3 linked regions of the Xenopus tropicalis genome follow. The protein of the gene in region 2 purifies or fractionates together with the protein of the main gene of each other region. This does not show direct contact. Links are inferred from orthologs where the notes say so. Each region holds a gene or a part of one and is shown on either strand. Other genes may lie near its edges. The genes, in order: ube2o, fgf11 and sirt1.

What was found.
Region 1: the proteins of fgf11 (region 2) and ube2o purify together in Homo sapiens (affinity purification with mass spectrometry; 3 studies listed by BioGRID and IntAct, with this or other methods). This does not show direct contact. The link is inferred for Xenopus tropicalis from reciprocal best matches to the Homo sapiens genes FGF11 and UBE2O.
Region 3: the proteins of fgf11 (region 2) and sirt1 purify together in Homo sapiens (affinity purification with mass spectrometry; 3 studies listed by BioGRID and IntAct, with this or other methods). This does not show direct contact. The link is inferred for Xenopus tropicalis from reciprocal best matches to the Homo sapiens genes FGF11 and SIRT1.

What each region holds. Positions count from the first base shown.
Region 1 is NC_030686.2:45,261,719-45,265,367, forward strand, and holds part of ube2o ((E3-independent) E2 ubiquitin-conjugating enzyme), read right to left. Parts: intron 3,014-3,649; coding exon 2,904-3,013; intron 2,794-2,903; coding exon 2,643-2,793; intron 2,523-2,642; coding exon 2,041-2,522; intron 1,934-2,040; coding exon 1,779-1,933; intron 1,085-1,778; coding exon 972-1,084; intron 707-971; coding exon 578-706; intron 494-577; coding exon 404-493; intron 156-403; coding exon 1-155. UniProt on the Homo sapiens protein: E2/E3 hybrid ubiquitin-protein ligase that displays both E2 and E3 ligase activities and mediates monoubiquitination of target proteins. Negatively regulates TRAF6-mediated NF-kappa-B activation independently of its E2 activity.
Region 2 is NC_030679.2:152,810,146-152,814,493, reverse strand, and holds the start of fgf11 (fibroblast growth factor 11), read right to left. Parts: upstream 2,931-4,348; 5' UTR 2,545-2,930; coding exon 2,352-2,544; intron 1,729-2,351; coding exon 1,618-1,728; intron 1-1,617.
Region 3 is NC_030683.2:38,247,647-38,251,295, reverse strand, and holds part of sirt1 (NAD-dependent protein deacetylase sirtuin-1), read right to left. Parts: intron 3,221-3,649; coding exon 3,141-3,220; intron 982-3,140; coding exon 795-981; intron 1-794. UniProt on the Homo sapiens protein: NAD-dependent protein deacetylase that links transcriptional regulation directly to intracellular energetics and participates in the coordination of several separated cellular functions such as cell cycle, response to DNA damage, metabolism, apoptosis and autophagy.

The sequences.
Region 1 (3,649 bases), on a different chromosome or scaffold from region 2:
CCCGCCGCCCGAGGGATTTCATCTTCCGTCAGCCCGTTGTCCGTTTCCCAGCTGTCGCTCTCATCCTCCCATTCATCAGACGAGGCGCCGCTGGAGCTGCTGTCCACGGAGTCATAAAAGGATTCCTCCAGTTCGGATTCCACGTTATACAGATGCTGGGGAGTCAAAAGGAAACAATTTGTAGGTGCAGCAGTCTCCAGAACAGAGAATGCGGCCTGTAACCCACAGGACCCAGTATCCACAGGACCCAATATCCACAGGGCGAGTATGAGTTCTTCCTTCCACCCTCCTTCCCCACTTCCTCTACCATCAGCCCCTATCAGTGGGTGTGTGCCTGCTACACCCCTCCCCCTTTGTGACATCAGAGATGGGGTGGGCCCCAATATTTATACAACACACTTACCTGTGGGAGGACAATAGTCCGGGAATTATCAGCCCAGATCACTTCGACTTTGCTGCTCACGTCCACCCGAGCCACCTGCCCCACCGACGGCTGCAAAACAGGGAAAGGGGGTTTAATCACCTTAAATAAATGTAACAGCCACCGGTAACGGCATCTGGAATAAAAAGTTCCCACCTGGCTGGCATCAGGAAAGGCTTCTGGATCAGAGTTGCCAATGCGGATCACTATGTCTGTGGCTCGGAATCGGAAATCTGGATGGTCAACAATGTCATACACACTGACATCCTCCTCTTCCCCAACAAGCTGAGAAACAGTAAGAGACATGTTTGTGTGTATGGCTGAAGCAGAGCATGATGGGGCACACAGTATCACCCGGCTAACAGTCTTGCACCCCTGCCCAACATGGCGGGCCCAGCACAGCCCAGAGAAGCAGGACGGCCACTAATCAGTAAATCGACAAAAACCTTTGAACACAAAGAAATAACAGAACCCCGTGCCGTACGGTCCATAAAATATAGTTCTGGCTCAGGGAAGGGACATGTCGGGTCACAGCGATTCCGTAACTCACCTCCGTATCGTCCCCATTCAAATTCAGCTTGATCCATTTTACCACACAAGTACGGCCCGTGTGATCCCCAGACTGCACCACTCCGTATATACTGGGGTCCTGGGCAGCGTGGGCTGTTGGGGGAGAGAGAAGGAAAAGGCTATTTCAGATGAACCGGAGAGCGTCATTCTGTAAATCTGTTTGTCTTAAACCCACATATTTACTGTTATTTGCCCCTCACTCTCCCCACTCATCTGCCCCTCACTCCGTCTCTGCCCCTCACTCCGTCTCTGCCCCTCACTCCGTCTCTGCCCCTCACTCCGTCTCTGCCCCTCACTCCGTCTCTGCCCCTCACTCCGTCTCTGCCCCCCCTCACTCTGTCCCATTCATCTGCCTGTATGCCCCCTGCTCTGTCTCTGCCCCACTCATCTGCCCATATGCCCCCTGCTCTGTCTCTGCCCCACTCATCTGCCCGTATGCCCCCTGCTCTGTCTCTGCCCCACTCATCTGCCCGTATGCCCCCTGCTCTGTCTCTGCCCCATTCATCTGCCCGTATGCCCCCTGCTCTGTCTCTGCCCCACTCATCTGCCCATATGCCCCTCGCTCTGTCTCTGCCCCACTCATCTGCCCATATGCCCCCTGCTCTGTCTCTGCCCCACTCATCTGCCCATATGCCCCCTCGCTCTGTCTCTGCCCCACTCATCTGCGCGTATGCCCCTGCTCTGTCTCTGCCCCACTCATCTGCCCATATGCCCCCTGCTCTGTCTCTGCCCCACTCATCTGCCCGTATGCCCCTTGCTCTGTCTCTGTGCATCTAACATTACTGACCTCTCTTGTCGACTACAAAGTCCCCGGGGCAGAACTCGTTGTTATCCAGATGCTGGATCGGTACCAGTTCATTAGAGCGGATGTTGGTCTCAACGCTCCCATCTTGCCACATAACGTCAGCCGTGGTCACAGTGGTTATAACCTCGACAGCCACCCTGCAGGGACAGCCATAGATGACAATGTAAAACGACCAGAGGGGGCGCTGCAGCTACATAGCTGCCCTTTGCTTGGCACTCTGGGAGGGTCCATTACTAATACCAACCTGTCGCCATGTTTGAACTCTCTGTATACTTTGCTCTTTTTCTTCTTCTTATGTTTCCTCTTGAGGTTCCGGATGGACAGGGGGATGCTCTTCTTGCGCCCAGCGCCGCTGCCACTTTGGGAAGAAGCCGTAGAACTGGCCGAGGAAGTCACCGAGCTGGTCTCGTCGGTATCCCCTGCGGCTTCATCGTCGGCGTCCTGTTCCGAGGAATGCAGCTGGAGGCCCTGGAATATTTCCCGGAAGGTGCCCAAAGGCTGCTCTTTGGTTGGGCACTCCGGAACGTTCGGTTCCTCGGGGGGTTCCCCTTCCAGCTTGGCAGAGACAAGATCTTCCTCGGTTGCCCTTGCTGTGGGTATTTCATACGACGGGGGCACTGTGGAGTTTTTTTTGAGGAGTTCAGTAGGGTTGGAGGGATCCTGGGTACATGAGATTATCTTGACTATCTGCTTCTCCCGTAGCTTTTCCACCTGCTGTGTATGGACCAATGGTGAGACAGAAAATCAGGTGTTACATCTCCTACCATGATAAACAACCCCCCCATGCCAGTGCCAGCTAATACCCTTTGCTTGGGCCGCTACCTCTGCAGCCTTCAGTGGCCCTACCTTCCTGGTGACGGTGACCTCCCCCAGCAGGCAGTTCTTCTCGAGACTTTCACACAGAATTTTGGTGGGTTCCACCTTAGTGGGGAAGATGTACAGACAGCGCTCTCCCAGCTGCCTCTGCGTGTGGTCGAAGGAGCCCAGTCGTTTCACTCTGAGGGGAAACAGAACAGCAGCTCATGGAGTTGCCCATATCGCCCTCTAGTGGAGGAACAGTTTGGGTGCACTGGAAACTCCCACCCCATTGGCTCAGGTTGGACTCACCTAGACAGGTTCTCCTGAGTAATCACAGCGGGTGGGGGGTCCATGGAATCGGTGCCGCCGAGACAAAAGCTTTTTGTGATCCAAGTAACTCGTAATTCAGTGACTTGCACCTGTAACGCGGGGGGGAGAATGAACGCACACGCGTGTTACACGCACATATACGTAAGCATCACACACTGAGCAGGAAACGGGCGCTCTACCAGGAGATTAACCGGCTACAAGCACCAGAAATAAACTATAAGGGGTGGGAGACGTTTCCCTGAAGCACCGGGTGCCGCCTGCATGGGCGGTCCCGACCTTCGACCTTCCGTGTCGCCACTAAATCATTACTTATTCATGAGCTAAAGTAATTATTCATGAGTGCACTACAGGGTCCAGCACGGCAAGCGCCACGGCTCCACACTAGGGTAGGGCACCCCCTTGGGGTATCTTGGAGCAGGTGGGGGGGTAATTAGCCGGATGGCCTGGTGAGGTTGGAATTGGGATAGCTAGGGTACACACTGCCCCCCCCCCCCCATACCGTATATGAGAGCTTCCTATACAGTATGGGGGGAAAGGACTTCAGGTGGAAACTCATGAGTGGGGCACAATGGGCACAATGAAATGGCAACAGAAGTCACCAAGAGTAAAGGTCCCCATCCATGGGCCGATTCTAGCTGCCGATATTGGCCCCTTAGACAGATTCGGCAGCTAATCGGCCCGTGTATGGGCACTACCGACGGCATGCCCGACCCATATCTAACCTG
Region 2 (4,348 bases):
CTGCTCATCTCCAGGCTAAATGCCCTAAAGCCTTGTCTCCCCTGGCAACTAGGGTGCTCACTGGGCCCTTGCCCTTGTATCTACATGGTTGGCACCAGACTATTGCTCTTCAGGGTAGGACATCGCAGCCCCCCTTGGGGGTTTCAATTAGATTTAATGAACGGTGGTTCTTAACAAGCCCCATACCTGAGATGACCATAAGACCAGGAGATGAGATAACCAACCCCTTTGGTTTAGTCTAGGTTACTCTAATATTGACTTGAACATCGTGACCAACCTCTCATGTCTACCTCTAAAGGTGGCCATACACCTATGATCTGCTTGTTTGGTGAGGTGGGCATATGAGTGGATCGTCTGTCGATATGCCCACCCACAGTGCTAATTCAATTGTTTGGCCCTAGGGCCAAATGTTCTCATTAAAATGGCACGTATATGGGTCATCGGGCCACATCTACTGATGCATTTCCTGATCCAATGGTAAAATCATACCTGCCCAATTTTAGGCCAGATATTGGTCAGGTAGAACCATTGGGGGTGCACATACACGGGCAGATAAGCTGCCAAATCAGCCTGAAGGACTCAAATTGGGAGCTGAAATCTGCCCATGTATGGCCACTTTAAATCTAGATGGTTCTAGGACCTTGTAACCCCCTGGGGTTTCAATTAGATTTTCTGAACAGGACTTCTTTTCTGACTGTAGGTGGTTCTTTACAAGCCCCCATACTGGAGTGTAGCAGATCATATGACCAACCCCCTGGGTTTAGTCGAGGTTGTTCTAATATTGACTTTCGAAGATTGTGACCAACCTCTCATGTCTACCTTTAAGTCTAGGTGGTTCTAGGACATTGTGACCCCCCCTGGGGGTTTCAATTAGATTTTCTGACTCTAGGTGGTTCTTGTCGAGCCCCCATACTGGAGTGCAGGTGGTGAGATGACCAACCCGGTAAGTAAAGTCTAGGTTGTTCTAATATTGACTTTAGGAGATTGTGACCCACCTTTAATGTCTATGTCTACCTCTAAGTCGAGGTGGTTCTAGGAGATTGTGACCTCCTTGGGTTTTCACCTGGATTTTATGAACAGGGCCTCTTTTCTGATTTCAAGTGGTTCTTAACAAGCCCCCATTGAATTGTAGAAAATCAGATGACCAACCCCCTGGGTTTAGTCTAGGTTGTTCTAATACTGACTTTCGAAGATTGTGACCAACCTCTCATGTCTACCTCTATTGTCGAGCCCCCATACTGGAGTGCAGGAGATCAGATGACCAGCCTGTTGAGTACAGTTTAGGTTGTTCTAATATTGACTTTTGAATATTGAAGATTGTGGCCAACCTTTCATGTCTATATCTACCTCTAAGTCTAGGTGGTTCTAGGTCATTGTTACCCCCTTTGGCTTTCAATTAGATATTCTGAACAGCGCCTCTTTTCTGGCTCTAGGTGGGTCTCAACAGACCATCATGCTGCAGTGTAGAAGATGAGATGATCAACCCGTTGGGTTTAGTCTAGGTTGTTCTAATATTGAGATTGTGACCAACCTCTCTGGTCTATGTCTGTGAGAACAGGCTAAAAGAATGAGAAGCTCCATGTGTTTGAGTTGAGTTTGGTCTTGGTTTATACTCACTGTATGGGTTTCCCTCTTCTTTTGAACCTTGGATGGTTCCATCTGGGAGAAGTTGAAGATAAAATCCAACTCTACTGAGCAAGCGAGTGATAATGCCTTTCAGCTGAGGCTCTATGGGACGGATTGGAGGGAAAGGGGGTAAAACATAGGAAGATGGGGGGGGGGGGGGGCGGGGAGAGGGATATTAATGCTCGTACCTTAACCCCTTCAATACAATCACAACCCTTTTCCTCTTCTCCCTCTAGAACTTTTTAATCATTCTGTCTCTTTCTCCTTCCGAATGCCCGTGACCTCCTTTCTTTCATGTTTAGATCCCATGGGAGCGAGCACTTCAATCCATTATACAGACAGCGCTGGGGGGGGGGGGGGGGATGGAAGGGGCAGCCCGAGGGGGAGAGGCAATGGCACTTCTTGGGGTGGGGGAGGGACAGCAGGGGAGAAGCAGGGACACTGAGTGGCACAGAGAAGCCGATGGCACAAAGCGAGTGGCACAACGGAAGGTGTTGGTTGAGCAAAGAACCACTGGGGATGATGGGAAAGCAGCAAAGGGTAACTGTGCAGTAACAGTAAGTTGGGGGGTCAGTAACGGAGGAGCGGAGGATTGGGGGTCTGTCATGGAGGGGTGGTGACCTAGAAATTAGGTGTGAATGGGGGGAAGTACAGCAGGAGGTTCCAGTAACTTGCACTCACTCACACTCACAGACAACACTCACTCACTAAGCCCCAGCACTCACCGGAGTCCTTCTCTTGTGTCCCTAGTTGGGCCCCACAGAGCCGGACCTTGGAGACCAGGATGAGAAGTTGTTTCTGACACAGAGACTTGGTTCCTCGGGGGCAGACTTTCCTTTGGGGGGGCACGGGGCGAGGTCCAACCGATTCCCTCACCTCTCGCTTCTGGCGAATCAGAGAGCTTGCCAAGGCGGCCATCCCCTGCGCAGCCCGTGTGGCCCCTACAGCAGCTCCCTATGCGCAGCCCACATCCCCCCCCCAGTGACTGAGCCCAAGGGAAAGAGTGGGGGGCTCTGTCCCACTAATTTGCCTCCTGGTTAGGGGGGTCCAACGGATCCATCGTGGGCTCTAGCAGGACCTTGTCCCCCGGAGTTCCAGTCCCGTTATCCTGTCAGTGTGTGTGTGGGGGAGCCTCTCCCTTTCCTCAACGCTCCCTGGGCCCCCCCAGCCCTCTCTCCGCCTCCCTCCTCTGTGCAACTGGCAGCCGCCAAATGTATGGGGGGGGCAGTCTGACAGTCGGGCGTGTGTGAGAGCCAGGAGATTCCAATCAGTGTGTGGGGGGGGCACCTTGTTTCCCTCTGCAACACTCATGTACCCACCCCCCGACCCACTTACACACCCACCCACCCATACACTCACCCACTCACTCATACTCACTCACCCATACACCCACCCACCCATACACTCACCCACCCATACACTCACTCACTCATACTCACTCACCCATACACCCCACCCACCCATACACTCACCCACTCACTCATACTCACTCACCCATACACCCACCCACCCATACACTCACCCACCCATACACTCACCCATACACTCACTCACTCATACTCACTCACCCATACACCCACCCACCCATACACTCACCCACCCATACACTCACTCACTCATACTCACTCACCCATACCCCACCCACCATACACTCACCCACCCATACACTCACCCATACACCCACCCACCCATACACTCACCCACCATACACTCACCCATACACTCACTCACCCATACACCCACCCACCCATACACTCACCCATACACTCATACTCACTCACCCATACACCCACCCACCCATACACTCACCCACTCACTCATACTCACTCACCCATACACTCACCCACCCATACACTCACCCATACACTCACTCACTCATACTCACTCACCCATACACCCACCCACCCATACACTCACCCACCCATACACTCACCCATACACTCACTCACCCACCCATACACTCACCCACCCATACACTCACCCATACACTCACTCACTCATACTCACTCACCCATACACCCACCCACCCATACACTCACCCATACACTCACTCACTCATACTCACTCACCCATACACCCACCCACCCATACACTCACCCACCCATACACTCACCCATACACTCACTCACTCATACTCACTCACCCATACACCCACCCATACACTCACCCACTCACTCATACTCACTCACCCATACACCCACCCACCCATACACTCACCCACCTATACACTCACCCACTCACTCATACTCATCCATACACCCACCCATACACTCACCCACCTATACACTCACCCACTCACTCATACTCATCCATACACCCACCCATACACTCACCCACCCATACACTCACCCACCCACCTATACACTCACCCACTCACTCATACACTCACCCATACACTCACTCACTCATACACTCACCCATACACTCACTCATACACTCACCCATACACTCACTCACTCATACACTCACTCATACACTCACCAATACACTCACTCACTCATACATACACTCACTCACCCCTACACACCTACCCACTTACTCACTCAGTTACACTCCCATCAATGAACCCCACCTGGCCCAGTATAGGAATAAAGGGGATACCCTGTTATATATTATAGGAGCCCCCCCCATGTGCCCCCCAATATAAACCCTTACAGACAGCTGGGGGTGAATTCCCATGACTGACGCTGGTTCCGTGCCAGTGGTTCCAGCCCAAACACTG
Region 3 (3,649 bases), on a different chromosome or scaffold from region 2:
TCATATAGTCTTTGTAATGCTTAGGTTGCAAATGTGTGTATACACTGGCCAATAATTATTTAAAACAAAATGTATCTGTTTTTGGTGGGTCATTATAAATATAATATATATTAATATAAATAAATTATAAACAGTAAGTGTTATGGGGCATCCCAAGCTTTAAAAAGGTGTACTAACTCTGCTTGCATTTTTGCCTTGTTTGGATCATTGCTCCATTTTGATATCCTATGCTTTCTTGTCAGTGACACCTTTCTCTTATGATAAATAAGTATGGGTAAGCATGGTCTACAAGCCAGGTGTGGATACAGTATCCCTTCAAAACATAAATACACTTCTCCAGTTATGGGGAATACAAGGTAATTGCAGAAATACTGAAAAGATTATCTGTTTAAAAATATACAGAAAAGTAAATGCAGAACAAAACAAAAATACAACTTATCACATAAGATAAAATCTATCCATTCAACAAGACTAGCACACAGCAAGGTCTGTAGCCAATGTGATCTTTTACCTGGTGGTACAATTACCACAGATTCATATGGCTAGTTTTATAACAAATATAGACCACATGGAGGCTGATGTAGATTTTAAACAGAAATGTAAGCTTCACATTTCAAGGGCTGCTTAAATGGGCTTAAAAACAACCCACCTGACCTACAAACTGAAGTCACTCTGTTCCTATGTGACTGATTTTTGCAGGACTTACAATTTGCAGGTACAATAATGGCATTTTCTTGAAAACTATTATACACTCAATATTTGATTAATAGTTTTTAATAAAATAAAATACATACTTGGTATTAATGCTACTGGCCTGACTTTCAGGGAAGATCCAATAACAATAAGAAGATCAACCTCGTTTTTGTCATATTTCATAGCTCTGTGAAACTGTTCTGGCAAGTTTTCACCGAAAAATACAATGTCCGGTTTCATGATGGCAAGAGGCTCATCAGATGAACACCTTGGGCACCTTGGAACTATCTGTATGCAAAACAAAAATGTAACTGTTGACAAAAATATGAACTTCTGTAACAGCAAGTTGCAAATAGCTACAAAAGCCCAACTGTTCCAGTAGAGACATAGAATAATAAAATATTGCCATGGATATGCCGACCTATTTTTAGCAAATCACAATGCACTCACTGCAGTCAAGTAATGCAGACAACAAGTTGTGTAAAACAGTGGAATAACAGACATTACTGCTGCTTTATTGGCTTGCATAAGTGAGTGCATTTCTTTGCACTTGTTCCTACTACCAGCTTGCTGGCACAAATACAAATCTTTTACCACTAGAACTCTAGATCCAGACTTGAGTCAAAGCGAACCTCTTCCAAGATCAATGATACATTATAAGGAAAGGTACATTCACATTTACAGTATAATTGGCAGAATACTGCAGTCTTAACTAGGAGTTAAAAAACAAAAAATAATAGGTTGGCTGTGACCGAGCAAAACAAATATGAAATTCAGATCTCTTATGTAACACAAAATGAGAGGAAACTAGAAAGACTTGTTATTTAGCTAGCCCAGGGTAGAGGATGAACCTAGGCTGGGGGCGGCCATTTAAAGGTATCTTCTAATAAGTTAACACCTATATATCTTCTACTAGAAAGCAATTGTTTAAGACTTTTTAAATAACTTTTGTGTTCTACTGGTGCTATTTATTAACTTGTGTACTGCTGTGGAATTGGTAGCAAGTGGACAAAAAGAACTGTCACTACTGATTCACATAGTAAATAGTTGAGTTTTTTTTTACTCCATAAGCTCAACATTCTGCTGCATTACATTTTTTTGAGAGGTGCCAATATAAGTCAGTTAAACAGATATCCCAATGGCTATTTATTGGTTGCTTCCCCCATTGCTGAAATGCTTTAAGTGTTAATATAACCTCCTTTCTGATGAGCTCAGTCAGTTGGCTTACATTATAAAAAAAAAAAAAAAAATAGCACATAAACAATATCTTAACTGGTAAAAATAAATATACATTTATTTTTTAACAGACATACCATACTCCAAAATTTTCCCTCTTAGACTTATAAGGCAATGAAACCCCAACCTCACCTTACCAGAGAACTGTGCACCATCCTTTATAGAAAGCAGGGGGACCTCAAATCCCAGAATCCATAGCGCCACAATGAAACAAGATGAGGAAGGGGTAGCATTGCATTATAAGCCTATGCCAAAAGCCATTTACTCATTAAAGGGAAACTGTGGCTAAATTTGTTAAAGCGCCCCACACACCACAGAAACCCCTAATACACCTATCACTGTAAACTGTTCCTTCAAAAAGTATAAATAAATACCATTTAATAAGCTAAAAACCCAACAGTTCTTCTCTTTCTGCATCATTTGAAATCCTGCCCAGGGAGGAGGGACTAAAACATTGATGCTTACAGACAGCATTCAGGAACTACATACCCACAATGCATTGCACTGTGATGTTCCTTTCCTTATTGACATAATCTGTGCAGGGAATGGTGGGATGTGGAGGATGCAGGCAGAAAGCAGGCTAAGGACAGTCATCTTCTGTTATATTTTATTTTAACCTCAAAGTAGTCAGCCGGATCAGCAGGAAAATAGGGGGCCATGCTTAGGTAAAAGTTCCAAACCAGATTATTACGTTACAAATGAAAAGGCTGCAATATTTTTTTAATTGATGTATCCTGCAAAGTTGTTTGAAAGTATGTTTACTTTTTAAAAAGCATAAGTTGTGTTTGGGTGGAAATGCTGTACAGGTATAGGACCCATTATCCAGAATGCTCGGGACCAAGGGTATTCCGGATAAGGGGTTTTTCCGTAATTTGGATCTCAGTACCTTAAGTCTACTAACAAATCAATAAAACATTAATTAAACCCAATAGGATTGTTTTGCATCCAATAAGGATTAATTATATCTTAGTTGGATTCAATTACAAGGTTCTGTTTTATTTATACATAGAAAAAGGAAATCAGTTTTAAAATTCTGAATTATTTGATTAAAATGGACTCTATGGGAGACGGGCATTCCGTAATTCGGAGCTTTCTGGATAACGGGTTTCCGGATAAGGGGTCCGATACCTGTACTGTATAATTTTAAACTTAATAAATAAATCTCATTAAAAAAATGTATTTCTGATTAATGCAATAAATCAGTGTGTTACCTGATTAAATATGTCCTCTCTAACAGCTTCACAGTCAACTTTGTATTTACATACAAGACAAGATGCTTCAGCAAATGATCCTATAAAAGATGCAAAAACAAAATGAAATGTAGTATATATTTTTATTTCAAACACAATGCTATATCTTCAGAAAAGCTGAAAGGTAAATCACGGCCTGCTAAAGCCTGTAAACAATAAAGTCACTTGTTTAAAACAGATTTCTTATTTGTTGATCTGGGTAATTACCCCTCAGCATATACTGTATATTCAACATGTACAGGAAACTGTATATTCAGCATAGGTCCATTATTATATATGCCTTAGTGCTAACTGTAGCACTCACATGTGGCGGCACTAGTTTATGTGTAGCATCACCTTGGTTGTGGCATCACAGAAGCCCAAGAAAATGGAAGCACATGGTGATATGGGGGTCTGCTACAAAAGTACACTGCTATGTTCTAAAGATAAAGGTAACCTTTTTAACTGACTTTAGATTGAATTGTTAGGGG